Arabidopsis thaliana: one gene and its partners. The protein of the gene in region 3 interacts with the protein of the main gene of each other region in a pairwise test. Each region holds a gene or a part of one and is shown on either strand. Other genes may lie near its edges.

Region 1 (10,133 bases), about 21 Mb from region 3:
TGGATTGCTTGTGATGTGAGAGAGAAGCACTCGGTCAGTATACAAAGACCGAGATCCATTTTTGGCAGAAGGGCTCATCCCTGAGCCAATAGAAGACATGGATATTTCCTTGCCTTCAGAATCAAACCTGCCAATGTCAAAGAGAATGGTAATTGAATAACAGAGACAAGTTTCATCATTTTATTTTATCAGCTGGCTCAATCCAAAAGGCATACCAAGATTTCAACTTTTTAGCTTCTGGTGATTCCGGGTTAATAACCACATTGCTTCTGCTGATGGTAGACAACGAAACACCTGGAGAGATTGGATTCTATGAGCAAAAGGTTCAAACAAGTGTGATTTATCCATACTGTTCAATAATACCAAATACATCATACCTTGAAAATCTCCAACTTTGAGAGACTTGATTGCAATCACAGGTGACTGATCAGCCATGTCTAGTAGCTCCTGACCTATGCCAGTTGCAAGATCATTCCACAGGGACACCACAACAGTTTTCCTTGACTCATCAGCCAAAGTTATATCCCTCTTAGGAATCATCTCATTGTCAGTTCTCCTTCTAATACTCATGGTAGGAGATACACTTTGAACAACTCCAATAAGATCTGAAATAGCATAACAATTAAGTTATTATCACAACCAATGTATAATTTACCTGGAAAAAGAATGTTCAATGACAATAAGGCTCTTACCAATAAGTTCCTTCTGATTAACATACAGACCCAACTCTTCAATGGGTACGAAGTTGAATTTTGTCTCAGGGATGAACATTTCTTCGCTACTAGCTTCCTCAACCTCTGAATTTTCATTCAGTGTCATCTCATAATCATTCTGAACTGTTTTGAACTGCTTGTTAGCGAGTTTTAGTGACCCCCTTGATATATAATAAACCTTTCCCAACTGGAATCTGTCAAAAAACTTCCTTGCAGCATCATTAAACATCGTTGCTTGAATTTGTGTTCCCTGGATAACAGCCAAATAAACAAAATGAGAAACCGCATAAAGGTTGTCTATACCAAGTTTGAGAGATAGTAAGGAGCTTTCTTACTTCTTCATCTGTTAGTTCAACATTGAAGACACATCCTTCACCCCTAGCGTTTTTGTAATTTCTCATCACTCCCTTGTTTGTAACTCGGACTTTGATGGTCCAGTTTCCTTGATATGGATTTAATGACACAAGTGGATGAACCCTTCTAGTCATGGCCATTCTTGCAGCTGGTGCAGCACTGTCAAAATCCAAACGAATTTAAGCAAAACACTAATAAAATAACCATTTGACAGAGACAGTAATGAAACATTGAAGATCAAAAAAGATAATTTGCTTACTTTCCCCTTTGTTCACTCATTATCTGAGAAGCTGATTTGGCTACAAATTCCTGCTTCGGTTTCAATGTGATACCAGTAGAAACAACATCATTCAGAGGACTGACAGGAGAATGCTCTAGTTTCTGCTTCTTGGGCTCACGAGCCTCCTCCTCTCCGCTCTTACTGTCCAAGTTAATCTCAGAATCAAGCACAGAACCAACAGCCTCACATTTAGTCACAAGGAAATATCTGACACAGAGACAATAGAGAAACACACATGTTAGTAACTGTTGATTTCAAGAATCGAACCAGAGTGATTATCCATGTAAAGAAGAAGCAAAAGAGAAGTCTTACTTTGTAGATTTGCTTGAAATGTCGTTAACAGTGAAATCAATGAGACGAATTAGACCCAAGTTCTGGATCTTCCCAGAAATGATTTCAGGTGTGAGTGAAGCAGTAAACATTGCTTTGACTTTCGTCTTTCCGTCATTTGCACTAAATCTGTCAACCAAAATCAAAACAGATCCATCAGAACAAAATCGGTAACTAAAACCCAAAACTAGGCAATATACAAACTATTATCAACAAACCCAGATCTCTTCTATCATAGAGTCATCAAAGTCGTTGCATATCATAATCTAGCTATACAATTGTGATTGAGAGAATATAACACTGACCTAAAGCTGGAACAAGCGAGATTTAAGAAATCAAGTAAAACCCAGATCATGAAAAGCCAAGGAAACTTACGTATAGCGATTGCCGATAGGTTTAAGATCCACAACTTGAACAACGATCTCAGATCGATCGGAAGACGAATCAAAGGATGGGTTTGACAAAACGGTGGAGATGGCATCTGGGGTCACCGAAGTCTGCATCTTTCTCTCTAGATATTGAAAAATGAAACGTTTGGTTTCTCTTTAATCAGAATGGTGAAAACTAAAAGCCGTGAGATAGTGAGAAGAATGAGAGAGAGGTACGAGGGTTTTTGTAAAGGAGAGAGCTTTAAGCGGGAGCTATTAAATTCGATTAATTGTTCCCCCGCCGATTTCAATTTCTATTTTTTTGGCAAAAAACTCTTACCGCTTCTTTTCAGTATCTTTCCATTTTTTTGGCGCATTTTGTTTTGTTTGATAATGGACTTTGTATGCGAAAGAAACTGTGTTACAAAAGCCTTTCACTTCAGGCCCATAGTTTATGGTTTTGTTTTTATGTGTGGGTCTTGAATCCACCGTATCACACGTTATGATTCATAAATATCTAAAATTTATTTCCAACAAATACAATTTTTTTGTTTCTTAAAGAACACATACGATATTATTATTTCAGAAAAAGATTAAATACAAAATCCCCAGGATCAAAATCAAACACCAATTCCAGATTAAACAATATCAACAATCTTTAATGTTTTTGACTTTTTTTTTTCTCTGAATGTTTTTGACAATTGAAAAAAATAATTCTACGCATTGCGTGAGGCAAACATTTAAAATTTTAATTTATATAAAGAGAAAATTTATACTTCTTGACTTGGGAAAAAAAAACTTGCTGAGGTCCTTACTTGATATGAGCTGTCAACTACTAGTGTGAGCCGTACAAATATAATCGGACGGTTCAGATCAATACATTGCGAGCCAGTCAAACTTCAAGTATTGACTAATCAACATCAACGTTTATTACACTAATTTATTATTGTACCCCTTATTTTCCAAAAACATAATACTTTTATCCCTATTGTATCCAATAGCTCTAAAAAAATCCACCATAAAATGTGTTTAATGAAATTCGATTATCTCTGACGACAACATTATCAAAAATCAAGACAAGAGATAGAACATAAAATGTTCAAATTCGTAAAAGTAATTGAAACAAATTAAATTCATTTCGAAGTTTATTAATTACATTTTGACCCCCAAATTTAAGTTAATTAGACTTACCATCCCCATGGTTTTCGTCCCGCCATATGGGGAAGTCAATGGACGAATCAATCTCAATTAGATTCGGGGCGGCCCAAAAATTTATCATTTTCTAAACCTTTCGTAATCTACGAAATTACGGGATCGCCTTCGTTGGAATACTAATTCCATTTTTCAACTTTGTTTTTATAAATACAGTTTACGTGCACCACAACTTTTCTTCTTTCCCTTCTTCTTCCCCAATAATCTCGCTGAAACTCTCTTGCTCTTGCTTCTAAAAATCTGTTCTTTGAGACTTTGATCACACAGTTATCAAAATCATAATCTCTTCTTTCCTGGTTTTTTTTTTTTTCTTCTTCTTCTTCCCGTTTCACGGTACGTTTACTCTGTTCGATCACCGAGTGTATGATAAAATGTTTCTGTGAAATCAAATAACATATCACTTTCTAATAAACATCAAAATTTCTCCTTTTTTACAGAAACAAGAAGTTTTTTTGGGAAAGCCGTTGACTTGACTTTTTCTTTGGGGTGTTGTGTGGGAGCTTATAGTATGGTACCATAAGTGGGAGCTTATAGTTTGGGGTGTTGTGTGGGAGCTTATAGTATGAGGAAAAATGTTAGATTTGAAGAATGCTTCACTGATTTTTTACCATAAGTATGTCAACTGGATTAAGCTTAAGTAGTAATGGTTTTTACTATGTTCATGTGGGGATTTCTCTTCCTCTCTGTTTACTTCATTCCGAGATGACTTGAGATTTTTTCAAAGTATAGTTCTTGGAGTTAAGCTTACCTAGTAATCACTTTATATAACATCCCTTCGTTTACATTTGTGCTTTCACCTGGAAACACTTTAGACTTTTCTCTCTTCTGCCGTGTGTATTTAGTTGTCTAGTCAAATTTAAGTTGAGTTTAGGCTCTAGTCTTTGGTTTTGGTTATGGCAGAGTTTGATTCCAAGGTTCCTGTTTCCGGAATGAACAATCATGTCTTTGAGGCATGTCACCATGTTGTTAAGGCACTGAGGGCATCTGATAACAACCTGGATGCCAATTTGAGAAAGCTCCTAAGTGACCTAGAGATGCATTTGTCAACATTTGGGATTGCTGATACCAAAGTTGAAGATGCAGGATTCTCTGAGATCAAGAAGAGATTCAAAGAAGCTGTGAAGAGAATCCGCAGTTGGGAGACAAACCAGTCGACGATGTTTGAAGCTGGTCTGTCTGAAGCTGATCAGTTCTTTCAAGCCCTGTATGACGTTCAAACAGTTCTTGTGGGTTTCAAAGCTTTGCCCATGAAAACTAACCAGATGGAGAAAGATGTTTACAACCAAGCTACGGTTGCTCTTGACATCGCGATGTTGAGGCTTGAGAAAGAGCTCTGTGATGTTCTGCATCAGCACAAACGGCATGTACAGCCTGATTACTTGGCTGTTAGTTCCCGTAGAAAAGATATTGTGTACGACGAGTCCTTTGTCTCCCTAGATGATGAAGTTATTGTCGAAGCTTCTTCACATGAAGATGATGAACAGATATCGGACTTTTATAATTCTGATTTGGTTGATCCCATCGTACTTCCTCACATCAAAGCTATTGCAAACGCCATGTTTGCTTGCGAGTATGATCAACCATTCTGTGAAGCTTTCATCGGCGTTCAAAGAGAAGCTCTGGAGGAGTATATGGTTACTCTCGAAATGGAAAGATTCAGCTGCGTTGATGTTCTCAGAATGGACTGGGAGGATTTGAATGGTGCAATGAGAAAATGGACAAAGGTTGTTAAGATCATTACTCAGGTCTATCTCGCCAGTGAAAAACAGCTATGTGATCAGATTTTGGGAGACTTTGAGTCAATTTCTACAGCTTGCTTCATTGAAATCTCAAAAGATGCAATTCTATCACTCCTCAACTTTGGAGAAGCTGTGGTGCTGAGATCTTGCAAGCCAGAAATGCTTGAGCGCTTCCTTAGTATGTATGAGGTTTCAGCAGAGATTCTCGTGGATGTCGATAACCTCTTCCCCGATGAAACAGGCTCGTCTTTAAGAATTGCATTTCACAACCTGTCAAAAAAACTAGCTGATCATACAACCACAACCTTCTTAAAGTTCAAAGACGCAATAGCCTCAGATGAATCCACACGCCCCTTTCATGGAGGCGGGATTCATCACCTGACCAGGTATGTAATGAACTACTTGAAGCTTCTCCCGGAGTATACCGACTCACTAAACTCACTGCTTCAGAACATACACGTTGACGACTCCATCCCCGAGAAAACAGGAGAAGATGTCCTCCCTTCGACATTCTCTCCAATGGCTAGACACCTCAGGTCAATCGTCACAACTCTAGAATCCAGCCTTGAGCGAAAAGCTCAGCTGTACGCAGACGAAGCACTGAAATCCATTTTCCTGATGAACAACTTCCGTTACATGGTCCAGAAGGTAAAGGGATCAGAGCTGAGACGCTTGTTTGGAGACGAATGGATCAGGAAGCACATTGCAAGCTACCAATGCAATGTCACTAACTACGAGAGATCCACATGGAGCTCCATACTCGCTTTGCTCAGAGACAACAACGACTCTGTAAGAACCCTGAGAGAAAGATGCAGACTTTTCAGCCTTGCATTTGATGATGTTTACAAGAACCAAACCCGTTGGTCAGTCCCTGATTCAGAGCTCCGCGATGATCTTCACATCTCGACCTCTGTCAAGGTTGTTCAGTCTTACAGAGGATTTCTTGGAAGAAATGCAGTTCGCATAGGCGAAAAACACATCCGATACACTTGTGAAGACATTGAGAATATGCTCCTTGATCTCTTTGAATGTTTGCCATCTCCAAGATCACTGCGCAGCTCTCGTAAGAGATGATGATGATGATGACTTGAGCCTAATGGACTCCATCTTTGTTCTTTTGATCTTTTGTTATTTACTCACTTATGCAATGTTTTGTGATTGCTTACATGCAAATAAAGTTGTAGAATTTTTATACTCCATTGTGGGGATGTAATAGTAATTGGCTATCTTGTCACTATGTCATCTTTGACATGCTTAATACAAATTCAATGTTTAAGTCGGATTTAACATTTATAATGACGATGGTTTTTTGGTTAACTCTATGGACTCATCTGATTTAACTGAGGTATGGACTTGGGCTATTTGACTAGGAGATATCTTTGGTGACTTCTTACTACTACTCACCTCTGTATTCTCTGCTGGATTTTGGCATATGCAACAGCAAAGTGTTGTTGATGGAACAAGTGAAGGAAGTGAGCTAGCAGTGGAAAGAAGACTGGGCTGATTATGAATGTCAGTAATGACGTCTCTCCCCAGTCAAGAAGATAACTAGAGAATTATGCTTAGAAGATTTGATGGTAGCCTTGCTATTCTCCATCTATTCTCATCTTCGGAAAATTGTCTAAACTATAGTACCCTTATGTCCAAAAACCTACAATCTTCTGTCAAAATATGAGAAGGAACTTTTTTTGGACCGTTTGATTCCTGCATTCGAGTATGAAGCAGATGCCAAATGTTTCTCTTACTTGTCTTGCCTGAAAAGTTATATAAAACTGAATAAGCTGATTCAATACCAATCTTTTACCCATATCCTCATATGTTGGACCATTACTAAAGGGATAGAGAATAACTGCAAGATGATGAATGCTCATGCCAAAACTTCATCTACTAAGCCACTACCCTCTCAACTCGGTTCCAAAAAAAAAAAAAAAAAAGTCTGCAAATTCAGGAATGGAAACAAAACTAGAGAAACGCTCTAAATAGCCTAAAACAGCCCACCCAGTTCCCACTTAAAACCAAAGGTTGGTTCAGCAGGCAGTAGCAACAGCATTTTTCTCCACAGGTAACTCGGTCTCTTTCACCACTTTCGATTCTTTAGTCACTTCAGCCGCAACTCCTAGTGCTGCTGCATCTTCTGAGGCTGTAGTAGACTCTTGAGGTTTCACAAGATTAATTTTTGACATTACACCTTTGTCTGCATTGGCCACCAATGTCTGCTTGGAAACAATACCAAAATTTGTAAGATATTCCTGTTATATAATTATATATATCAATGAATTGTTGGTTTCAGAGAGGATTGTTGCCTGTTTTTTGATCTGCAGGTGTTTGCTTTTCCTTTCTTGGATAATCTTTTGACGATTCTCATAGAACTCAAAATCATCGAGGATGCATGTCTTGCTTGCGTGGTCCTTGAAAATCTTGATGACTTTAATGCCTTGCTCGAGCTTTACCTGCAGACAAAAAAATGGTAAGAAAATAAATGACAGCTCAATTATTAGAATACAAAAGATGATAAATAACACAGTGAGCGGACATACTTCCTGTGTGTCTCTGCTATTAGTAACCGGCTTGTTCTCATTGTTCTCCAGAGTTATATGCCTCAAGGAGCTATTAGGGATATCTTTAACGAAATGCCACTTAACAGGGAAGCAACCAATCCATTTGTCCTGTTGCCAGTATTCAACAGTCTTATTGAAATCAACAGGGCCTACCATCTCGGCTAAACCAACAAATTGTCCACTAGTGTTTACCTGCATCAATGAAAACATAAGAACTCTACAACTAAAACTGAAATACACAGCAGAGGTTGATAACATATTCAAAAAAAATTATTCACTCACAGAGAAAAGTAGAAACACGGGACAGCCATCTGACTTCTGTTTTGCCTCGTTATATGAGGCATCCAGCTTCTTGTTACCATTAGGAGTGCTGGACCAAACACTGTATTTGATACTTTTATGAATATCATCTTCACTGTACGATTTGATTACATAAAACTTTGCTTCTGTGTAGGTCTCAGGGAAATCTATCTTATTGTAGTCCTTGGGATCTAAAAGAGACACATCTTCACTGAGTTTCTCAGTCTCAGTCACTCTCTGCTCCTTCAAAGACACAGCCATCACCTTGGAACCATCTTGGCTGTTGAAACCCTTAGCTCGTGGACCTCTATTCATCTCATTTAACCCCTCAATGTTTTCTTTGCCATATCCATGATACCCGTTTCTTGGCTTGTAGGTATTGTTAACCGCATACCAATTGGGCATGTATTTCCATGAGTCATAACCGTAAGAGCCATACCCATAGCCATTCGTGTAAGGTCCACACATCCCATAATTGGAGTAAATGTTGTCCATGTATCCTCCATAAGATTGACCATTACCAGCTGATCTTCCCTGCTGAGTCTGCAAAATAAGATGATAATAAATTAAACGAATAAACAAGTCAAGATTACATACCAAGTGATTATAACTACAGCTCAATGAATGAAATAAGAACATACCAGGTACTGATACTGAAGATTGGTTTTCCCTGAAGCATAGCTCCCAGTGTAACCATGTCTTGGGTACTGATATGCTGGGGGATAGTACCCATAAGCATAGGCACCCTTCCCATATGAACCCTTTGCGTTATAAGCTGCACTTTGGTACCCGAGTTTCTTAAGGTTGGATCCCTTGTCTTTGGTCACACCTCCATCTTTAGACAAAAGACTAGGTTTACCAATTTTGGTAGCCTCCACTAACTCATCATTGAGCAAGAAGTCATTACCGTTTCCGCCATAAGCCCCCTGCAACTAAAATGGACACTAGCCTTTATAAGTTCACTCTGAAAATTACTCTTATTGAAACCAAAAGGCATGTTTTCTGAATCACTAAACAAAAGGTGAACACTAAACCACAGAAAAATACCTTTGTTTCAGAATCAGGAGCTAAAGCCTTGGTTGTTGGATCAATCGACAAATTATGTAGCACATCTGAAACATCTATAGAAAAAAACAATGAAGGAATAACAAAATTTATGATTTTTTCACGAGTCAAAACATCAGATCAACAAGGAAGAACCACGATAATTCTTCATAAACCCTAAAAGTTAAGAATTTATGAACGATTTACAAAAAAATAAAAACAAAGAAGAAGATCTAAATCCATCGTAGAAAAACAAGAGTGTCAAAAGAACTAACAACAGATCCAGCTAGAATGAAGAAATCAGCTTATATTTAAAACCCTCTGAACAAAAAGAATCTTCTTAGAAGAAAGCTTTGACAAAAACTCATAAAGCAAATACAAATAGACACAGATAATGAAGGATACGGTCAGGATTTGCCATGGCTGCGTAGTGAGTGGCTTAGCGGCGGAAACTTGTTGTAGGAGAGAATGAGAAAATGTGAGAGAGAGAGAGAGTAAACGCCTGACTAGCGGAGACCACAAAACCCTAAAAGCAACAACTTTTTGAGTATTTCATGTTTCGGGTTTAACCCATTCACTTTCGGGTCAAAATAATGTGATTCGGGTTGCATTTTCAGCAAATCAAATGGGCTGAAATAACAAAAGAGAATAAGGCCCAGTTACAAAAGAGAATAAAGTTTTGTTAAGGGTTAACTTTTTTTTTTGTTTTCCTTTTATCTTTTAATACTTCTATATTATAATTTTATTGCAACAATATTCAAACTAGAAGTTTAATGTATAGGATTCAATTACAAAAATTATACGTAGTTTTACCAAACTTCTAAGAAAAAAGTTTAATTTCGAAATATCTTTCTAAGTTAAGTTAATCTTCGAATTCTTCCTTTTTATTTTCGTTTAAAAACCAAAATAGAGAGATTAAATCGTTATAGGCTTAGAGCTACTGGGCTGTCACATAAACGAATGACTTACCCAATGAAAACCCCGTACGTGTCTAATATGATTTTCCAAAATCATTTTAGATTCAACGGTCACGATTGACTCAGATCTTGCAACTTCGCTACATAAACCCTTTCTGGGAGAAGTAGGGTTTTAAGTTTTAACGGACGCGAGAAATCACAGAGGAAGCGAAGTCAGTGTAGAGGTACTTCACTCTTCACGCTCATTTCACTCTCAGCTTTGAATCTCGTTAGCTGTTTTGAAGGTTCTTTCTTTTCTGATTTTGAGTGTTCTCTGTT
Region 2 (10,030 bases), on a different chromosome or scaffold from region 3:
CGAACTTCGTTGCCGTGAACATGACTTTCCGAAATACCGCTGGACCAGAGAAGCACCAGGCCGTAGCTATGAGGAGCAGTGCAGATCTTTCAATCTTCTATAGTTGCAGTTTCGAAGCTTATCAAGACACTTTATACACACATTCACTAAGACAGTTCTATAGAGAATGTGACATTTATGGAACAGTCGATTTCATATTCGGCAATGCAGCTGTTGTGTTCCAAGACTGTAATCTCTATCCAAGACAACCGATGCAGAACCAGTTCAACGCTATTACAGCTCAAGGTCGTACTGATCCGAATCAAAACACGGGAATTTCGATTCACAATTGTACGATTAAACCGGCAGATGATTTGGTTTCGAGTAACTATACGGTTAAAACGTATTTGGGACGACCATGGAAGGAGTATTCACGTACGGTTTTTATGCAATCGTACATAGACGAGGTTGTTGAACCGGTTGGTTGGAGAGAATGGAACGGAGATTTCGCATTGAGTACGTTGTACTATGCTGAGTATAACAATACCGGTTCCGGTTCAAGTACTACAGATCGAGTGGTTTGGCCCGGTTATCATGTGATTAATTCTACGGATGCGAATAATTTCACAGTCGAGAATTTCTTGTTAGGAGATGGTTGGATGGTTCAGAGTGGTGTACCTTATATTAGTGGTTTACTTTCGTAATTTCTTGTATCTGATTATTTGTTTTAGCTATTATTATGGGTAAATTTTGGTCTTAATTTTGGTCCATTGTTGTAATTTGGAACATTCTTTAATAAAATAAAGATCTAATAAATTTTATTTACACTAATTAATATTTATGGTCATTATTTTATAGAGAAATTCTTACAAATAGCACTAAAACAACTTTATGACAATAATAGCACACAATCCATAAACTTCCAAAAATAACACTATTTGACTTACTATAAAGTTTTTGTTCTAAAGTATTACTAATTTATTTTTTCAATAATACCACAATTTTTATATAAAATCTATTCAACCAAAATAAATTTGAAATAAATTTAAAATATAAAATTTGGATATTCTATTTCTAATTTAGGGTATATATTTCAACCATTTAAAAGAAATTTTGATTCATTTGAATATTAGTTTATGGTATTATATTTGGTTTCTAATTTTCAATTTAGGGTATATATTTTTACTATTTTTCTAAAAAATTGACTCAATTTAATATTAAATTAGTGTTTGCTCTTAATTTTATTTTCTATTTTATATTTTCATTAAATTTAATTAAAGTTTATAGTGTTAGTTTGTGAAATTTTAAAAATATTGTGTTGATTTTGGAAGAAAACCTTTTTGGTGCTATATTTGTCAATAGCTCTATTTTATATTAGTCATAAAAAATAAAATAAAAATATCTCAAATATTTTGACTCCAAAAATATTAAATTAATGACATTTCTTTGTTCATTCACACCTGAGAGTAAAGAAGTGAGAAGGAGAAGAAAGAAGCAATGGAGAAGATAGAGCACACGACGATATCTACCAATGGTATTAACATGCATGTGGCTTCGATTGGTTCAGGTCCAGTGATCCTATTCGTCCATGGCTTTCCCGATCTCTGGTACTCATGGCGTCACCAGCTTGTCTCTTTCGCTGCCTTAGGTTACCGCGCAATCGCTCCAGATCTTCGAGGATACGGCGATTCCGATGCGCCGCCGTCTCGTGAATCTTACACCATCCTTCATATCGTCGGAGACCTCGTCGGATTACTGGATTCGCTCGGTGTTGATCGGGTTTTCCTCGTCGGTCACGATTGGGGAGCAATTGTTGCGTGGTGGCTTTGTATGATCAGGCCTGATCGAGTCAACGCGTTGGTCAACACTAGCGTTGTGTTTAATCCGAGGAATCCTTCTGTGAAACCTGTTGATGCGTTTAGGGCTTTGTTCGGCGATGATTACTACATTTGCAGGTTTCAGGTAATACTTTAAACTCATGAACACTTAATTGAAATGAAAATTAGGGTTTGGTGAAGTTCTCAGTGGTTGAAATCAAAGACATACTTAGGGTTTATTGATGATTACTGTTCATGATTTGATCACGTTAATGATAGATTGGTTGATTATGAACAAGAGTTGTGGCAAATTGCTTTATAGCCAATGCTTCTTTGGTGTTTAGTTATGAGATCAAGTTATTGAACCGATTTGAGATAGATGTATATTTAGGCGATTGCTTTTTGCCATGCCTTGATACTGCTTCAAGAAAGTTGAGCTTTTTATGTGTAAATGTATACACAATGAGAAATTTCTTAGCCACTATTAGTTTCTGTTTGTGTCTATAGAAACAGAGACCAGCCACCTACCTATACATAGCTGAACTTAGCTCAGGCTCTGACTCTGATAATGCAAGTTGCTATTGATGATTAGAAAAAGGCAATTAGTGCTTACTTTAATATAGTGCAGTCAAAGTCAAAGTCATTTACTTTATTTGAGTTACTTGCTTTAAGTAAATGTAGTTGGATCAGTCTTGTGGTCTTCAATTGCTTAAGTTGGTCCTACTAAAGATTTTGAGTTTCTTTTTTCTCAGGAGCCTGGAGAGATCGAAGAGGACTTTGCTCAAGTTGATACAAAAAAGTTAATAACCAGATTTTTCACTTCGCGTAACCCACGTCCACCTTGCATTCCAAAGTCAGTTGGTTTCAGAGGTTTACCTGATCCACCTTCTTTGCCCGCTTGGCTCACCGAACAAGATGTCAGGTTCTACGGAGACAAGTTTAGCCAAAAAGGCTTCACCGGTGGGCTAAACTACTATCGCGCCCTGAACCTGTAAGTCTTATGAATTCTAGCCACCTATTCTACATCATACAATCATCTTTTCATGGTTAATCTTGGACTTGAATCAATCTGGTCTTATCCTAACCTGCAGAAGCTGGGAACTAACAGCTCCATGGACCGGTCTACAAATCAAAGTCCCTGTGAAATTCATAGTGGGTGATCTAGACATAACATACAATATCCCCGGAACAAAGGAATACATACATGAAGGTGGTTTGAAGAAGCACGTACCTTTTCTACAAGAAGTGGTGGTAATGGAAGGTGTAGGTCACTTCCTCCATCAAGAGAAGCCTGACGAGGTCACTGACCATATCTATGGCTTCTTCAAGAAATTCAGAACCCGCGAAACCGCATCCTTGTAGTAGTTCTCCGTCTGCACAATGTCAAATTCAAGGTTGATTAAGCTTGATCAGGGTTACTTACTGTCTTAGAGCCCTACTATGTAATGTTTTCAAGGATGCTATCTGTGTATTGTGCTTGTTTAATAATTTAGCAAAATATAATAATAGAACAAATAATTTCTCAAATGTTGGCCATCTCCAGTTCAATATATCCTTAAACTTTTCTTATGTCCAAATTAATTTTCAAAATGTTGAATTCCTATGGTTTCTAGAAAACTTCAATTAAGCATAGATGATTTTTTTTAGGTGAAATTAATATCAAAAAACTGAAATATATGTACAATTTTATCAAAAATTATAAATCTACTAAGGACATTTATACCTACCAACTGAATAAATTCAATAAAATATATAATACCAATGTTTTTTTTTTGTCAACAGAATTGGTGTATTAATTTTTTGGCAGTGGATATTTTCAACAAAATCTAAAGCGCGTTCGACCACGCGCCTGTGACGCGTAAAACTCAGTTTGACAAATATTCACAATTAATTGAAGACGCCAGTCAGAAGAAAAAACCACTACGCAGCTTGAAAAGACAAACACACCCTCGTCTTCTTCCGTCGCACCGCTTCTACAGCAATGTCATTTTAGTCAAACCCCAAAATTCGAGCTCCCTTTGAAGAAAAAACCACCAAATCAGTTTCGTTGTCCCAAATCCAAAATTCCTCCTTCTTCTTCGCTGTAACGCTTTATACCTAATCGGAGATAAAACAATGCAATCGTCGAAAGGACGGCGGAAAGTTGGCTCCACAACCGCCGGAGCCGGTATAGATTCGGCGGAGAAGCTCGACGAGCTCTTGATATCGTCTGCCATTTGTAACGGTGAAGATTTAGGACCATTTGTTCGGAAAACTTTCGGTACAGGGAAACCAGAGACTCTTCTTCACCATCTCAAGTTTTTCGCACGATCTAAGGAATCAGAGATCGAAGAGGTATGTAAAGCTCACTATCAAGACTTTATCCACGCCGTAGACGATCTTAAATCGCTTCTCTCAGATGTTGAATCGCTTAAATCTGCGCTTTCCGATTCAAACTCTAAACTCCAATCTGTTGCGGCGCCGCTTCTTTCGTCTCTCGATTCGCTTGTTGAGGCTCAGACTGTGTCTAAGAACGTCGATCTGGCGATTGGAGCGGTGACTCATTGTGTTCGTGTTATGGAACTTGTCTCTCGAGCTAATCAGCATCTTCAGAGCGGTAATTTCTACATGGCGTTGAAATGTGTGGACTCGATTGAGAGTGATTTCATGGAGAAAACTCCTTCGTCAACGCTGAAACGGATGCTTGAGAATAGGATTCCGGCGATTCGATCTTATGTGGAGAGGAAAGTGAATAAGGAGTTTGGAGATTGGTTGGTTGAGATCCGTGTGGTGAGTCGGAATTTAGGTCAGTTGGCTATTGGTGAAGCTTCCGCGGCTCGTCAGCGAGAGGAGGAGCTCAGGATCAAGCAGAGACAAGCGGAGGAGCAGAGTAGACTTAGTCTACGCGATTGCGTTTATGCGCTAAACGAAGAAGAGGATGATGAATTTGGTTCTGGCCATGAAGGCAGCGATGGTGGTAGTTCCGGAGGTGGATTGCTAGGTTTTGATTTGACACCACTTTATAGAGCTTATCACATTCATCAGACACTATCTCTTGGGGATACTTTTAAGCAGTACTATTATAACAATAGGGATCTTCAGCTTACCTCTGACTTCCAGGTATCTACTATGACTCCGTTTCTCGAGTCACATCAGACGTTTTTCGCACAGATTGCTGGGTTTTTCATAGTAGAGGATAGAGTTTTAAGGACTGGAGGAGGGTTGATTTCGAAGCTGGAAGTGGAGACTTTGTGGGATACTGCTGTTACTAAGATGTGTGCTGTGTTGGAGGATCAGTTCTCTAGAATGCAGACGGCTAATCATCTCTTACTGATTAAGGATTATGTGAGCTTGTTGGGGGTGAGTCTACGCAGGTATGGCTATGCTGTTGATTCCCTTCTCGAAGTATTAAGCAAGCACAGGGACAAGTATCATGAGTTGTTACTATCTGATTGCCGTAAACAGATCACAGAAGCTTTATCAGCAGATAAGTTTGAGCAGATGTTGATGAAGAAAGAATATGAGTATTCCATGAATGTGCTCTCTTTCCAGTTACAAACATCAGAAATAGTACCGGCATTCCCTTTCATTGCTCCATTTTCGACCACCGTCCCAGATTGTTGCCGGATTGTGAGGTCTTTTATCGAGGATTCGGTTAGTTTCATGTCTCACGGAGGTCAGCTTGATTTCTATGATGTAGTGAAGAAGTATCTGGATAGGCTTCTAGGCGAGGTTCTCGATGAGGCTCTGTTGAAGCTGATTAGCACGTCGGTTCATGGAGTTTCTCAGGCAATGCAAGTTGCAGCAAACATGGCCGTATTTGAACGAGCTTGCGATTTCTTCTTCCGTCACGCTGCACATCTTTCAGGAGTTCCTTTGAGAATGGCGGAGAGAGGTAGGAGGCATTTCCCATTGACGAAATCTCAAAACACTGCAGAAGATACACTCTCAGGAATGCTTAAGAAGAAGATAGATGGTTTCATGACATTACTCGAGAATGTCAATTGGACAAGCGACGATATACCACAAGGTGGGAATGAGTACATGAACGAAGTGTTGATCTACTTGGAAACTTTGGTTTCCACCGCACAACAGATCTTACCCGCTAAAGTCTTGAAAAGGGTTTTGCGTGATGTCCTTGCTCACATTTCTGAGAAAATCGTTGGAACGTTATGCGGGGATCTAGTAAAAAGATTGAGCATGGCTGCAATCAAAGGACTTGATGTGGATATTCAGTTGTTGGACTCGTTTACAGAGAACCTAACTCCATTGCTCACGGATAAAGAAGCAAGAGAGATGAAAAAAGCGTTTGTCGAGATAAGACAGATGATCAATTTACTTCTGAGTAGTCATCCTGAGAATTTTGTAAACCCGGTGATCAGAGAAAGAAGCTACAATGCTTTGGATTACCGGAAAGTAGCCACGGTTTCAGAGAAATTCAGAGATCCATCAGATAGTATTTTCGGGACTTTTGGAACAAGAGGGTCGAGGCAAAACCCGAAGAACAAATCTTTAGATGCGTTGATAAAGAGATTGAAAGATGTGAGCTGATGATGGATCCCAGCACAAACCCAAAACGTAAGTACGATCCCGTCCTTTGTGTTAATTATATGATTGCTTTGTATTTCATTGTTGATGATTCGTTGGTCTCTCAAAAAGAAAGGCAAAAAAAAAAACACTAAAACTGATTTCACCCCAATATTGTTTTTTTTTTTTTTTCTTCTTCCATTAATAGCATTTTCGTTAATGAGTTCAATAGTTTGATTTTGAATTGCAAAGTTCATGTCACTGCAGCCTTTCACTATGCCGTAGCTTTTTACCGCATTAAGTCATCAATCGGATCCTTAGTACGGTTTTAGTTACGATCATGAAATAGTAAAATCAGTCCAGTGGAATGCAAACTTGGCTGAGTTTCTTTATTTCAATCAAGGTTGGTTTGGTTACCACGTGATCGTCGTTTTTCCCTATTAACACGTGTGCTCTCTCTGTCAATCAAATCGTCACCGTACATCTAATTTGCATGGTCTCTTCATCAGACAGTCCAGAACACACAAACACCTAACAACTGTTTTCGTCTTCTGTACTTAATGAGACACTTCAAAGCTTATGCTAAATTAGACACGAATCATAAGAGCAAAACTTAAAGAAGTAAAGAACCATGTCGCTAGACGCGAATACTTGTTCTATCGTCTTCTTTCTATTCTTCACTGTCTCTTTCGCCGTCTCCGGCCAAAAGCCAACCGCTTACGACGCCGTCAAACTCTATAACTTACCACCAGGAATCCTCCCAAAAGGAGTGGTTGACTATGAGCTTAACCCAAAAACAGGCAACTTCAAAGTCTACTTCAATGACACGTGTGAATTCACCATCCAATCCTACCAGCTCAAGTACAAATCAACTATCTCCGGCGTTATATCACCCGGTCATGTCAAGAATCTGAAAGGAGTTAGTGTTAAGGTTCTTTTCTTCTGGGTTAATATTGCTGAAGTGTCTCTTGACGGCGCCGATCTCGACTTCTCCGTCGGAATCGCGTCGGCGAGTTTTCCGGCTGCTAATTTTGAAGAGAGTCCTCAGTGTGGTTGTGGGTTTGATTGTAATAATGGGCTTTTATTTTCTTCTTGAATCTGTTGGGCCTTGTGTTGTACTGAATAAAAAATGCCCTTCTCTTATGATTGGCTTATGAGTATTGATTAGTTAATTAATAAATTGATTAATGTATGTGTATGATTAGTTCCTACCGAAAAAGCCCTTCTCTTTCATGTCAATTTGAGCTTTCCGAGACCGAGACTATTTAACCATTTTTGACTTTCTATTTAACATTAGAATTTTTTTGAAGTTTTTACACCAAAATAAATAAATTTAAGCGACCATAAAAACAAGAAAACTGGTCAAGTTAATTTATCTTCTTTTTTCATGGAGCAAAAGATTAATGTTTATACAATTTTTTATAAAAATAAGAGTTCGAATGGTGACTGTATTTTGCCGTGTAGGAAGAGAAGTACTGTACAGTTCAAATAATAACGAAAATATATATATATATATATATATAAAGATTTTAATACTGTTACAATACTGTTGCGGTGCAATTTTGAGTATGGTCTATATCATTATTCATAGTCTAAATTATATACAATTTTTTTTTGTCTTTTTGTTAACAAATGTCTTGATAAAATTTAATTCATGATTATCTAAGAGAACTTTTCCCAAAAATTTGTCTTATCACTACAACCTGACTGCCTGTAGAAACTAACCACGTGTCCAGTTGTCTACCTAAAACGGCGTAGTTTATATCTAACAAAAGATATTTTCAACGACCACCATTATTACAAAAAGTCTACGACGGCAAAACGAAAATCCACAGGCGGAGAAATCAAAAAACCAAAAATCCAATCTTTGGATTCTTACTTCTACGATTTGTGTGTTTCCTCAAACCCAAATGTCTCGTCTCCCGATTTTAATCGCTTCGTGTCTCTTCCTCTCTTCACTCACCGCCGCCGTCGTCACCGCCGCCGAATCCGATACTCCGACGGCTTATTCACTCCTCCAAAGCTACAACTTCCCCGTCGGAATCCTTCCAAAAGGAGTCGTAGCTTATGATTTAGACACAACAACAGGCAAATTCCATGCGTATTTCAACGATTCATGTAGCTTCAATCTTGTTGGTTCTTACCAATTGAATTACAAATCAACAATCAGTGGTTACATCTCCGAGAACAAGCTCAAGAAATTGACTGGTGTTAAAGTCAAAGTTTTGTTCTTGTGGCTTAACATCGTCGAGGTTATTAGAAACGGTGACGAGATGGAGTTTTCCGTTGGGATCACATCGGCGAATTTCGCGATCCAAGAGTTTTTGGAATCGCCTCAGTGTGGTTGTGGCTTTGAGTGCAAGGATTCGAAATTGGACATGATTGAGAGAATCCCTTTTCTTTCTTCGTCTTGAAATTGAAAAAGGTACAATCTTTTTTTGTAATTTGTCCCCAAAAAATCTTACCTTTCGAAAAGATCGCATCTTTTATGTATTGTCCAATAATATGAGCGTAGTGTCTGGAATTTGTAATTGTTTACTTTAGTTCTATTTATTGGATTCAAGTTCTGTAATGGTGAAAAGAAAAGATACTGAAGGGAGATGTGAACATTGTGAAGTGAACATTTGTAATCTTAGATTGAATGTTTTCATTTTTGTTCATAAGGTCCTTTACTCCTTATTTGTATTGATTTGGTTTGGATGTGCTGGGAATTAGGATGGAGCTGCAGTTAGTAGGTTAGAAGCCATCTAGTTTTGGAGATTGAGATATTTGATCTTGGATAGGATTGAGCTGCAGTTAGTAGAATAGAATCTATCGATCATTCGATTTCGGATGTTACTCTTCGGTGAGAAGAGAATTAGCTTGCAGATGTTAGAGATATGTAGTGAAGATTTTATTGGTAGAGTCTGGTGCTTTTGGGGTAACTGTGAAATGTTTCATCTGTTTTGGGAGGAATTAGATCATGGTTCTTTGAAGATCTACACTGATTCCTATAATACATCATACCATTGTGTCGATGATCGATATTGGTCTATGTGATTTACTAACCTTCATAGGCTTGAGAATTGAGATAGTAACATGAAATGGGAAATGTCACAATAACTCTGAGCTATACTGATTCCCCTCGTTTGAGATAGATGTCTACCGTTTGAATGTAGATTGAATTACAGGTTATAAATCACATTCTTTTGTGTAAGGTAATATTTGATTGCTGACTAGAACATAAAAAGAGGGTTATGGAGATTTTAGGTAATATTCTTGTTCTTCTTCTTCTGGTGGGCTTTTGAGAAGAAAGGTTTTAAATTAAAAGCTTAATTCAACTGAACCGGGTTATGGATCGAATAACCGGTTATAGTTTCGGGCCTTTAATGCTTAAACTTAATCCCCGTAACTCGTAAGGATTCATAGTTCATACATCTACGTTATTATTACAGTTTTGGTCGTGAACCATTCGTCAATGGATCTGAAAGGACAAATAGGAAATCAACGAATGTGCACAAACATTTATTTCCGGTTAAGTCCTTTTAAACCGGTGACGTCGAGCTCTTGAGAGTTGATACTGATGGCAGTAAAGAGAACAATTTCGTTCTTTCTACCATATGCGACCTAGTAATGGTAATGACGTAATGAGACAGTTCTGTGGGAGGCATCACCTTATACATGTCCTTGTCAAACGAATTATGCAGGCATCGAATAGAAGTCGTGTCTAGCAAAAGATCATTAACTAA
Region 3 (12,396 bases):
AGTCTGGTGGTGAGCGCCATTGAGTTGAGCATTCCAGCAGATCGGAAAACTCCTCCATTGGTATCTCTTTGAGTTCATCCCAGCTGTTCTCAGCATCAATCTTAGGCACAAAAACAAGTGAAAGAGTCATGAAAGTTGCTCAAAACCGGAGCTACAATACGATGCTATGTGTTTGTCTCCTCTAAACTCTTATGGCATTAACCAACGATCTTAGAAGAACGATTCTCTTATAACTCAACATAATCAAGATAGAGAAAGACAAGGTAAGGTAAAAGCTAATCTTACCTCTTGAATATTATTGTATTGAGGAACCCCTTCTTTGATGTTTGTCTCTGAAAAGCAGAACAAAAATTAGGCTTCAGAGAATTAAGCCAAGCAAAGGAAACATAAGATAGAGAAAAAGGGTTCTTTCTTCATAAGTCATTATTACCATGTCCATGCAGGATGATGTGTTCAGAGAAGTAGCTATCCCACTGGTCTTGTTGTTGTTCTTCAATGCATTTGCTGTGATCATGCAAGAAACCTTCCTTTGCTATGTCAAAATCCACTCCCTCAACATCCTTCCTCGTCGTGGATGAAGCTTGAGGTTGCAACTTTGACTTGTTTGTAATGTCATGGAGAGCCTTGCGGCTTCCGAAACCCGCCCCATTTTTCTTTGGAGCTGCGAGTGAACTCTTACCTTTTCCAGCAGCAACCGCCTCTACAATGTCAAAAAAAAAAAAAAAAAAGACTTTAGAAACATAATAAGTTGCCAGGAGCTCTACCTCTAGAATTACAGAAATTCTATAAATAAAAACATGTTCCATGGTGAACATACATTCTCATGCTTACACTGATGAATAAAAACATATACAAGATGGACACAAAACAAAACTTAGTTCAAATTTGATCCTAAGCATAATATTGGACATGATTATAAATACAGACCCTGAAGCAAATTCATGAATGTATCTCTAAGCAATAATAAGAAGCTCTTAATTCAAGAAACCAAGACCTCTCATATGAATCCAAGAGAAAAAAAGACAGAAATATTCGCAACTTGGTAGGTCCTTCATGTTTCATTTCTCGTATAGTCTCCAAAGATTTTCCAACCATAGGACAAACGAGTCATCACAAAAAAAAACGATTTCTTTGTCCAATAAGATAAAAGGGAGCAAAAAACCCAGAGATTGCAGTGTAGGTAAAAATTACTTTTTCCAAGGGCCGCCAATGCATTCTCGTCCTGAAAAATCATCTGCCCGCGAAGAATTGTGTTGGCCATGCTCACTACATTCAACCAATTTTGGGGGTAAATTTTACATGAACAAGCAGCGAATGAGTGGGAAATGAAGCAATCTCGATATCAACAAAATCAAACCCAATCACTAAAGATTAGACTCACAAGATGCCGATGAGCGGATAGAGAAACTCCAAATCAACAGCTAAACAATTTCCCCACCAACCAAAATCCCCAAAAGAGTTGGCAGAAATTAAGAAGAAGAGAGTGATGATAGAGAAACAGCAAGGACTCTGCTCTAAACGGAAGACGAAGAGAACGAATCTGCTGCGATTTAGGGTATGCAGAATTTCAAACGAACAGAGAGAGAGAGAGCGGTCCGTTTATTTGTAACATTTTCAAATTCTTTACTCCCTTTTTTTTTTTGCAGCATCGTGATCAACGAGGCGCAAGGATGTTTTAATGGCTAATGGCTTTGCATAACTTTTACAGTGTTAATTTAAGTTAGTTACTTCTTTTATTTTCTCCTATTTTGCATCTTTCCAATTTTTATGCAGAAAGTAAAACATCTGTCTTGAGACTCATAACGACATCTCAAATATTTTAATTTTTTGGACCAAAACGATATCTCAAATATATTGGTCACTGTCTCAAGCGAAAAAGAAAACACAAATTAAGACCCATAACGATTCAGAATGAAGAGAGGAGGCAAGATTTCATGGTATATACATAAAATAATATATATCTGGTGGTGGCACTGACTGACTGGTTCAAGTGTGTTCTTTAAACATTGAGAGATCAGCTCAAGCTTGGCCACAAGGAGCTGAGTTTTGTTGCCAGCTTCGCACTCTTATAGTCCTCCCTCAGTTGAATAAACCTGCACATTATTCTCAACTCTTTATTTCATCATTTTTATTCTTTCTATTTTATCCTTTATAATCTCTTTCTATTCTTACCTTTGTGCGTCTTTGCGAATGCTTGGACTTCCCTCGAACAATGTTGGCAGACTATCTGGAGCAACTATGAAAACATTCGCTATTCTGCACTCACAAAAAGTGATTACAATAAATAATAATAAGAAGAAGAAGAATTAAAGTGACAAGAGAGTCTCAAGATTGTTATTTACATTCCCAGAAGCTCAAATTTCTCATCCACAGATGGAGCACCGAAGCTTTTAACAAATCCTACATACTCGTTTAAGTCACGCTTCAGCCGCAGTCCTCCACTGTCAACCCAAGTGTTAGTAATCATAAAAACAGAACCAAGGTTTATTCACTCAGACCTAATTTTGCAATGGATCTTTTATTTAATGTGGTCAAGACTTTGATTTGATCCGACAAAACATTTATACCAAGAGGTGCGAATCAAACATTGCATTCATGTCAGATCAGAGTGAAAACTCAGAGATAGCAAATTTGGAATGGTTATCTATGTTTGATTTATTAGGGCCCTGAATCTCATTTTCGGTTATTCTGCAGATGCGATTTTAGTAAGGAAAAGAGAAAACATACAAAGAGCTGAAATCATACCTGGGATTGAAAGTGAACTTCTGCCAGTGTGTTAGTAGCAGTTTTTCTAACCTATTTCCCTGAAAATGATAAAGAAAACTTAATTCAAATCCTCATCCTTCTCTATATGATGCATAAATTATAAATTATTTTTTTTAACTATTTATTTTGAAGTCACCACAGTAGTGGAAAACAAGATTGAGTTGCTTTTTAATTGGATCATTCATTTGTTAAAGACTGCCATTTCATAGGCAAAAAGATGGCAGTATATGGAAAAGTCGAAGTTATCACACAGGAACTTAAGCTTAGAATGTTTCTTTTTCTTCTCTAATCCGTCGTTGGACAAAGCAATAAAAAGCAAAGGCCAGGGCGAATAAATACTTCGAACAGATCAAATAGTAACCAAAAGGCTTAACGAAATCTGTGGTGAGAAAGAAATCATACCAGTTCAGTCAGGAAGGCTTGCTTATTAAGACCTTCCAAGGCAGTGAAAGCAGACTCAAGTACCCGGGAAAGATAAGCCACGACCCTAAACAAGAGAAAAAATCAGATAAAAGAATAGCACAGTGTTGAGACGTGATCAATAGATATTTTGTAAAATGGTTCAGAAATCTACTAAGTATAACTACAGATAAGCACTTCTGGCTTATCAAACTAAAAAAAAAAAAAGGTGAAGCCTTTAACCTTATGCAGGCATTTGTTGGACGGTGGTCAGAAGCAATTCCATCATCAGTTGATCTATAATCAGTAGACTTCTGCTCAGATGAAAGTAGCCTATCAACCTGAAAAAGACCATATTAGAGTCCTTAAAATGAGGGGAAAGAAAATATTAAGCATGACTCCTAAACCTGTTCAGGGTTGAACCTCATGGCTCTGTTTGTAATGTACACAAAAAAGAACTAACCTCAGCCATCACAGTTTCAATGCACTGCTGAAGTCCTTTATAAGCAGCTGCCTCTGCTTTGGACAGAGCAGTTGACATTTCTTCACATGAAGCAGCATGTGCACCATCCACTGGTAGGAGAAGCCGAGATATAGAATTTGCAAAATACTGGAAAAGAAAATTAGATGATTATAGAATTTTCATTGTAGAAGATTGGGTCAAACTATTTGAATACTTTAATAGTTGAGTAGGAGAAGCCTTCTCAGATGAAATAATTGAAACGAACTGATAACCATAAAAGTAATCCAACATGCCTGCTGAACTATAGCAACACTGCTACCGCAACGTTGCACAGCAACCATGAAGGATTTAAAGCTACTTTCACCAGCAGCAGCAGCAGCTTCTGCCTGAGAAACAATCAAAGAAACTATAATTAACTCCACATAACAATAGCATTTCAAATAGTGAGAAATAGAAAAGAGAAGGAATTACAGCAGAAGCAGCTGCAGCAGCTACTCTTCTGCCCAAAACAAATCTCTCCCTCAATGCTGCAGCTTCAGACAGGCTATCCCTTGCCCGTTCAAGTCCCTCAGTTATGTATACGCTCACCTGCAAGAACTCATCATTGCATCAGCTCTATTAATATGAATGACTCTAGAATCTCATGAACAGCATACCTGGTCTAGCAGGCAAGTAAATATAGCTTTAACATTGGCTGCAAGTGTGGCTGGCTGCACAAAAAAATAATTATAAATATCAGATATGCAATCCCAGATATTAAAGTTTACTTACTGTTAGATAATTCAGCCAAAATCAATATTTTAGATTATTTCTTTGTCAATATCCTATTCCGACATCTTTTCTCAAAATTCACAGCAACTAACTTATTTTGGAAAAGTTTCTCATAAATTGCTAAGTTCAGTAACCTGAGATGAAAACAATGTGCATCTGGTTATTGCTTCTTCATTCCATCGAACAAAATCTGTGACAACGGTGACTGATATCTGCTGCAGAGATGATGATATTGAAGCACCCTTAGAGCGTCCTATTGTCCCAGATGACTCTGAGACTTGCTGACTCTCAGCACGCAATTCTTCCATCTGTAGAGAAAACCTCAAATCTAAGCACTTCACATTAATGAACAACATAACAACTAATTTCAATCAGAAAATTGAAATAACCATATCAAACCTTTGCTTGATATAGTTGTTTTAAGGAGGCCCGCTCATGCTCAGGGTATTCATCCTTGTGCGAGGAAAACAAGGACTCTGTCAAATCTGCACAGTCAAAATATAGAGTTGTCAGCACCAACGAAAGTTTGCATGACAAAACAAAACTTCTATCATTAAAAAAAACGACCTTCAACATCCAGGTCACCACATCCAACAGCTCGGAGGTCTTTAGCAAGTTCTTGTGTTCTCTCATATGCAACTGCTAACATTCTAAGGTACTAAAGACAAAAATTAAGAGTTAACTTTCTTATACCAATCCTACTACGAAGATAGCAAAAGAAAGAGATAAAGAGGTATCTACACACTAGTAACAGTCCGCCTTCTTGCACAGGTGGTGGACTCATAAGAGAGGGCTTCGCCAAAATTTTGTCTAGAATACCTGTGACACGCTGCTCCAGAACTCTCTGCGTAAAATACACGAAGAGTTGGTATAGCTTATCCATATGCCGGGTTAACACTACAGTGTCCAAATTATCGGTGCCAGTTACCTGAACTAAGATCGCCATAACTTCATTTGGAGTCGGGAAAACAGCTGTAATGGTCGCTGCTTCTTTGCGTACGGTGTCTACACATAAGAAGTAACAAAATATATGAATCAGCATAGAAGCATGTTTCAAGTATTGCATCCAGATCAATGACCTTCAAACCTGTAATTTCCTTGAATAAAGCAGAAAGTCCACGGGCAACATTGCTAGGACTAGGCTGAGAACCATGGTCACCAAGAACCAACCTAATGTCTGAATTCATGACTTCCACATCAATAAACATTGGACGTGTAGCCACATAATGTTGCATAGCACTTGTACCCCTGTTAAACTGAAAATCAAGAAGAAAAAATACTAAGTATCAAGAACCATATGTACAAGAGGAGAACTAGACATCCATTCCTTCTGTGACAGCTTTATGTAGAATTAACCAGGATGTAATCACTCGATACGTAAGGAAGGCCTTCGCTCGGATCTTAGATAAAAGAACAGGTTTTCCTACTGAATTGTAAAGGGGCATGCTGCAGAATAAAGCATTCACCTGTGACAAAATCTTAGCGCATTCTGACATGGTTGATAAATCTCTCCGCTGTGATGCAGCATCAAAACGAGATAAAAGCCTGTTCTCCAATTCTACAGCATCATACTCAAATGTCACAAAGAAAAAGTTGAACATACAATAATCCTCTTCAGTAAATATACAGAAAACACAGTATAAACGAATTAGTTTACCATTACAGTAATCCTGAAGATTAGCAACTGCAACTTCCAGTCCTCGGCCAGGGGTAGCATTTCCTGCAGCTGCACTCGCACCTTGCCTTCCAATGTCTTCCTCAGCAAAGGATCCTGATATCGACAAGGAGAGCATGGAAATCAATTGCAGCCTAATTTAACTGTAAATTTTCATTGTTTCTTTTTGGTTTTAGTAAAGTTTCGTTGTTGGAGAGTTAAATTCTTAGTTGTTAACAAATGATAGATAAAAAGTTGTTCTAACACTCCAGACAAATTTCAAGTAACATAAAGCTATCACATCATACGTAATTTCTGAGCGATAGAAGCAGCCTCAGCTACGCGGCTATCATCAGAAAACAAAGCGGAAAGCTCCATAAGATCCCCTGGGCTGCCGTTGAACTCCATTAGGTACTGCATTTGTTGAACAAGGATTACTTTAAGCATTCATCTAACTAAATATGTGACCAACCTTGCAACATAGATGCACACTTACCTTTATAAGATCTATCGTCTGGCTAGCAGTTTCCCGCTGAGCATCTGCACTCTGACAAAGGAAGCATGGGTTAATATTGGATAGACCACCAGATAGTTGGTTATAAGCAAGGTAAATTTTACCTGCAAATGATCTCCTATTTTTGCAGCGGTCTGTCCAACACTTGAAATACGACCGTCCAACCTTGCAAAGCTCTCAAACAGACCGTCCACACCCTTCTCTATCTAGAAAGAGAATTCAATTACCATTTGAAGAAATGATCGGGGTGTCAGTTATTCATCAGGTAGTGATCCATGTACCCAAGGAATTTAATCAAACTAATAGTATTAGTCTGCCAACCTCAGTCAGTGTCTTCCGGTGTTTAGAATCTTGGGTTGAAACTTCCTTCTTTAGTGTATTGAGCCTTCCATCAACCTTCCAAAATAATTAACAAAAACCTCAGATATCGGAACGATGAAAAGATAAAACAAGGGCTAGTCATCGATGTAGACGCAAGACACTCACCTGCTTCCGAAGATCAACTAACTCCTTGCAAGCATCTTTGAACAGAGACAAAAGACCATCTACTTCAGGAAAAAAAGGAGCAGAGGACAAAGGAGCAGACTGTCCACGTAAATGCCCATTTGTCAAACCATCAACTCCAGCAATGTTGCCATGGCCATCCCCAGAATCTGCTTCTTCGTCTAGGAAAGACGGCAAGAGGTCGTTTACCAGGTTCCCAAATAATGCATCAAATGAAAAATCACCCTGTCAGTGACAAAAAAAAAAAAATCAATATCCCTTATGATTCAAAAGTGAAAAAACATAAGCAACTGAAAACCTCACCTTAAAGTCTTCAATGTCAAGAATCAGAGGAACAGAGTTAACAGAGGATGATCTGGGTCCTCTTGCTCTGATTCCTTCTGTCATCTGATAAAATGGAAAATTCAAAGAATTGAAGAATCAAGTCTGACAGATCATATATGAAACATTCAATAAATAGCAGAAAGAGATGCGTATGATTCTGGATTCTTCAATGATACTACACTAGCGTAAATCTTCTAAGTTAAGTCATCACCGGTAATCGCTGTTTACTCCGCCGAATGCAACAAAATTTAGAACCTATAGATGACCAATCGCGCACACGGGAAAGGAAAAATGTAATATGGAGCAACTTACCGGCGATGAACGGAGAGATCTAGCCGGAGGAATCCGGTAACTGCAGGGAGAAAAAGACGGAGAAAAGAGAGACGGTCTTCAATGGCGGACTTTTCACAACTATGAGCTCCCTCCTGATGAGCTGTTAATTTTATTTTATACGAGTTTTTTTTTCCTAAACCGGCCGGTTAACGAATTTGATCAACTGTTAATTTGTTAATTTTTTTCTAAGGCAAAAATATTTGTGTTCGTGTTTACAGTTAGCTTTTGTGTTATGGGATGCAATAATATTCCTTATGAAAACTTAATTCCTGAAAAAATAACGGCAAAGTCATATACATAAAGGGGTGGCGTTAACAGAGAGAGTTTCAGATTAACATAGAGCAAAAACAATCAATGAGCCGTTTGAAACATTTTCTGGTCTCTTCAAAGCATTGTAACATCATTACCAACTCTTATAAATTAAGAGTGCTCAAAGCAATGGAAGCAATATCCAACAAGTGATTAATCTGAGTCAAAGATATCTTACGCAGAAACAGAAAAAACAAAATGGCCACCATTGTTTCTCCTCCACATTTCTCCCCTGTCGAAGACGCTGAAAACATCAAGGCGGCTTGTCAAGGTTCTACTTTTCTTTGGATTAGTGTTTCAAAACTTATGTGGTTCATCAAGTTTCTTGCTATCTCCTTTACTCCTCTTCTTTATTTCTATTTGGCGTTTTAGGATGGGGAACCAATGAAAATGCCATCATCTCGATCTTAGGACACCGGAATTTGTTCCAGAGGAAGCTCATAAGACAAGCTTACCAGGAGATTTACCATGAGGATCTCATTCACCAGCTCAAATCTGAGCTCTCTGGCAATTTTGAGGTTTAGATTTTATATATCTCCTCCATGTGCTCTACTCTACTCTATTTCAATAATCCACAAAAGATAAATATATTTGTTACCTGCAGAGAGCTATTTGCTTGTGGGTCTTGGATCCTCCAGAGAGAGATGCTCTCTTGGCTAACTTGGCTCTTCAAAAGCCTATTCCTGACTACAAGGTTCTTGTCGAAATTGCCTGCATGAGATCCCCTGAAGATATGTTAGCTGCTAGACGTGCTTACCGTTGCCTCTACAAGCATTCTCTTGAGGAAGACTTGGCCTCCCGTACTATTGGCGACATCAGGAGAGTAAGTAATTTTAAATTTCCAGATAGTTTCTTCTAGTTTTGACTGATCTTCAACGCTTGGGCGTTTCTTGATATATACAGCTCTTGGTTGCAATGGTGTCTGCTTATAAATATGATGGAGAAGAAATTGATGAGATGCTGGCGCAATCAGAGGCTGCGATTCTTCATGATGAAATCCTTGGTAAGGCTGTTGATCACGAAGAAACGATCAGGGTGTTAAGTACAAGGAGCAGCATGCAGCTTAGCGCAATCTTCAACCGCTACAAGGATATATATGGCACATCGATCACTAAGGTATACAAACAAAAAAATGAACATCAAGTTATGTTATAACTGATCTGTGACAAAGCAATCAATTGGAAATTTCTAGACAACAATACAGCAGTCATACCAGTTTTTCTTCATGACAATGTTCTTTTTGCTGTCCTTAATGAAACATTTGATGACCAGGATCTCCTCAATCACCCTACAAATGAGTACCTGAGTGCACTACGTGCAGCCATCAGGTGCATCAAAAACCCTACCCGGTATTATGCAAAGGTAGGATGCAACAATATTGTTTAGATGTGTTCTCTAAATTATCCCAATAAAACTAACTGGTATTCATATGGTTAATCCCTAATGCACGTAGGTTTTGCGCAATTCAATCAACACGGTGGGGACTGATGAAGATGCTCTGAACCGTGTGATTGTCACACGAGCAGAAAAGGACCTGACGAATATAACTGGGCTGTACTTTAAGAGGAACAATGTGAGTCTCGATCAAGCTATAGCAAAAGAGACATCAGGGGACTACAAGGCCTTTCTTCTAGCTTTGCTAGGACATGGAAAACAACTTTAGAGTTCATCCTCAACTTAACACCTTAAAACAGTTGCATCTCTTCTAATTTTCTAGTATGGAATAAAACTATATTTAACGCTGAAGTAATAATAAAGTTTTCTGTTTGATGCTTCCTCAATCAGTTCTGTTGTTTAGCTTTTCATAGTAAAACAGGAATTACATAATTTTCCTTAATAAAGACATTCTTTGAAGGACACAAAGAAACTAAACAGACTCACTGAAAATAAGGGAAACATGTACATGTATGGGTTCTTTCCTCCTTAGCTGCGTAATATGGCTGCAGCAATACCAGCAACAACCCCTACAGCAGTAACAGCAATTCCAACGCCAATCACACCATCTGATTTCAAAAATCAAAAGAGAGTTAAGAAAAAGCAGCTGAAGATTCTAATGGACGATGTGTGGACAGTTGACACAATAGTACCTTTCACAATACGGTCCTCTATAGCCTTTTTGAGTGCCTGAGCCTGTCCGGACTCCGGTTCAACCTAAAACCACAGAAAGAAAAAGAAGGCATTGTAGAATACATCAACAATAAGATATTCAGGAGTTATCCATGGAACAGATGATCAAACCTCCAAACACCGTTCTATACAATCCCGGCTTCTTGAAAAGTCACCGCTTCGATAGTAACCAAGAGCAAGGAGATATAGCTTCTCCCTAAGTTTCATTGCACTTGTATCATTAACCACCAAAGCTGCGAAAACAAAGCAAAACACTTTGCTAAGATCAAACCAGTCATATGGATCAAAGCATCCACCTTTTGGAAGAACAATAGGCAGCTGAAGATTCCATAGAAAGTGTGAACATAAGCTATTACCTTCAAGCATTGCAATCCCACGCTGAATATCCGAAGGCATCTTTGAATGAACAAGAGCCCATGAAAGACGCATAATGCATTCCTTCTTACGTCCTTCGTCTTGAGCCTCTGCAAGTTCTTTCTCACATCCCTGAGAACGATGTCAATTCCTTACAAAATTATGTATGCATGCCAAAATTCAGGCCAAACACAAAAAAATTCTTTACAAGGACAAGCAACGCAAGAGAATCCAAAATCCGATGAAGGAGATATTAAAACAATTGGAAATTTGTGATTCGAGGTTCCTGTGCGTGTCAAGTTGAGGAACATAAAAGGTGGTGAATCATAAAACTTACGGAGATGATGTCGGAATCGCACAAGGGAAACTCATCGGCGGAAGCAGAAGCAGCGCCGGAGAAGAAGTCTGAGACGGAATCGAAAACCTTCCCTATCGCCGCGTCCATTTTTCCTGTCGCAGCTTCAAGATATTTCAGAGTATTCTTCTCGTTGGCTTTGACGATGATCCTCCCCTTGTGCTCAGCTATTTTTCTTTGACGAAGACCAGTCCAGAAATTTGACGGCAATAAAATTTTTGCGTAAATTTAGAGATTTTTTAAATTAATTTAGAATTTTAGGTGGATATTGTTATTAATTTATTATCATATTAATGTTTTCTTTATAAAGATAATATTGGTTTAACAAAAAAAAAAAAAAAATTGACAGAGTGAATTGCAAAACAAACATTTGATAAAATAATTAACAAACTAACACTATAATTTTAAAAATGTAGTAACTAACTATAAAGGGTAATTATTGACCAAATTGGTTTTGGTGGAGGTGATAGTGACTGGACGCGGTGGTGGCCGGAGGTGGTGGTGGTCAGAGATGGTGGTGGCCGGAAGTGGTTGTGATTGAGAATGATGGTGGCCGAGGGTAGTGGCCGGAATTTGTGGTGGCCGGAGGTGGTTATGGCTGGAAGTGGTGGTAGCCGAAGGTTGTGGTGGTCGGAAATAGTGGCCGGAGGTGATGGTGGCCGGACGTGGTGGTGAACGGTGGTGGTGACTGGACGTTGTCGTGGACGAAGGTGGTGGCCGGAGGTGGTGGTGGCCAAAAGTGGTAATAGTGATGGTTTTTAAAAGGATAAAAATGTATTGATATATATTATACTCACAATATCATATAATTTTTTTTTTTGGTTAGTTATCTAATTTATAAATTTTTGTATGTTATATTAATTTCTCTTTCTCAAACCTTTTTTTTACTAGGAATTGTATTGATAATCAAAATATAAATCCAAACTCTATTTCATATTAATGATATTTACCTTTTAGCAAAAACAAAAACATCAAATCTTCATGAGTTTTTATACTAATTTGTCCATCATGCATTCATTCCGTCATGCTTTATCTCCACTAGGAATTTTTAGTTAGGAGAAATTGCAGATTGGTTAGAGAATGACATTCGAGAGTAAGATTGGTGGATATATATACTTTCGAAACTAACAAAGAGAGTATTTATCGAATATTGACAAACATGAACAAACTAGCACAAATGTACCTCTAAAAAGAGAATAAGATGAAAAAACAAAATTAGGACAACATTTCCATGTGTCAAATCTTTATTGTAGTTGTATACAAATGTGTTTCTTAGAATAATATTTTGAAATTATACAACACATATATTAACATAAAATATCCATTAATTATAACATAAATTATATCAACAAATTTAACATTTTAGTTAATAATATTTACCAATTTTTATTTATTTTACTTATATATTTATATAAATTAAATTATTTGAATACTTGGAAAATAATAAACTGTACATCAAGAAATCAATCACACATGTAATGACATAGTTGTAACTTGTTAGTTAGAGTACCAATTCATATAAA

The links.
Region 1: the proteins of SEC10 (region 3) and EXO70E2 interact in a protein complementation assay, tested with the Arabidopsis thaliana proteins (one study listed by BioGRID).
Region 2: the proteins of SEC10 (region 3) and SEC15B interact in a two-hybrid assay, tested with the Arabidopsis thaliana proteins (one study listed by BioGRID).

The regions. Positions count from the first base shown.
Region 1 is NC_003076.8:24,550,462-24,560,594, forward strand, and holds EXO70E2 (exocyst subunit exo70 family protein E2), read left to right. Parts: upstream 1-3,282; 5' UTR 3,283-4,150; coding exon 4,151-6,070; 3' UTR 6,071-6,582; downstream 6,583-10,133. Other genes in the region: RPA70D (Replication factor-A protein 1-like protein), read right to left, coding at 1-127, 216-294, 378-605, 693-963, 1,049-1,226, 1,327-1,554, 1,660-1,806, 2,053-2,180; ECT3 (evolutionarily conserved C-terminal region 3), read right to left, coding at 7,024-7,209, 7,300-7,446, 7,534-7,746, 7,837-8,397, 8,496-8,786, 8,902-8,975, 9,304-9,319. UniProt on the Arabidopsis thaliana protein: Influences the subcellular localization patterns of other exocyst complex proteins (e.g. SEC5A, SEC15A, SEC15B and EXO84B) leading to their recruitment to exocyst, well-defined large punctate structures throughout the cytosol.
Region 2 is NC_003075.7:1,034,246-1,044,275, forward strand, and holds SEC15B (exocyst complex component sec15B), read left to right. Parts: upstream 1-3,868; 5' UTR 3,869-3,911; coding exon 3,912-4,895; intron 4,896-4,946; coding exon 4,947-6,326; 3' UTR 6,327-6,353; exon of another isoform or gene 6,354-6,529; intron 6,530-6,569; 3' UTR 6,570-6,819; downstream 6,820-10,030. Other genes in the region: ATPMEPCRB (Plant invertase/pectin methylesterase inhibitor superfamily), read left to right, coding at 1-683; AT4G02340 (alpha/beta-Hydrolases superfamily protein), read left to right, coding at 1,477-1,941, 2,549-2,787, 2,888-3,158; AT4G02360 (transmembrane protein, putative (Protein of unknown function, DUF538)), read left to right, coding at 6,934-7,398; AT4G02370 (pectinesterase (Protein of unknown function, DUF538)), read left to right, coding at 8,213-8,716. UniProt on the Arabidopsis thaliana protein: Component of the exocyst complex involved in the docking of exocytic vesicles with fusion sites on the plasma membrane during regulated or polarized secretion. Involved in polarized cell growth and organ morphogenesis.
Region 3 is NC_003076.8:4,000,988-4,013,383, forward strand, and holds SEC10 (exocyst complex component sec10), read right to left. Parts: upstream 7,789-12,396; 5' UTR 7,708-7,788; intron 7,616-7,707; 5' UTR 7,459-7,615; coding exon 7,375-7,458; intron 7,297-7,374; coding exon 7,054-7,296; intron 6,964-7,053; coding exon 6,889-6,963; intron 6,774-6,888; coding exon 6,672-6,773; intron 6,601-6,671; coding exon 6,550-6,600; intron 6,468-6,549; coding exon 6,362-6,467; intron 6,171-6,361; coding exon 6,057-6,170; intron 5,958-6,056; coding exon 5,866-5,957; intron 5,656-5,865; coding exon 5,487-5,655; intron 5,405-5,486; coding exon 5,328-5,404; intron 5,244-5,327; coding exon 5,145-5,243; intron 5,058-5,144; coding exon 4,967-5,057; intron 4,885-4,966; coding exon 4,799-4,884; intron 4,708-4,798; coding exon 4,534-4,707; intron 4,339-4,533; coding exon 4,285-4,338; intron 4,217-4,284; coding exon 4,100-4,216; intron 4,015-4,099; coding exon 3,922-4,014; intron 3,776-3,921; coding exon 3,629-3,775; intron 3,507-3,628; and 13 more. Other genes in the region: AT5G12360 (uncharacterized protein), read right to left, coding at 1-100, 286-332, 431-700, 1,192-1,261; ANNAT8 (annexin 8), read left to right, coding at 8,236-8,308, 8,410-8,555, 8,642-8,860, 8,941-9,153, 9,310-9,399, 9,491-9,700; FIS1B (Tetratricopeptide repeat (TPR)-like superfamily protein), read right to left, coding at 9,961-10,040, 10,125-10,188, 10,276-10,397, 10,521-10,650, 10,856-10,963. UniProt on the Arabidopsis thaliana protein: Component of the exocyst complex involved in the docking of exocytic vesicles with fusion sites on the plasma membrane during regulated or polarized secretion. Involved in polarized cell growth and organ morphogenesis.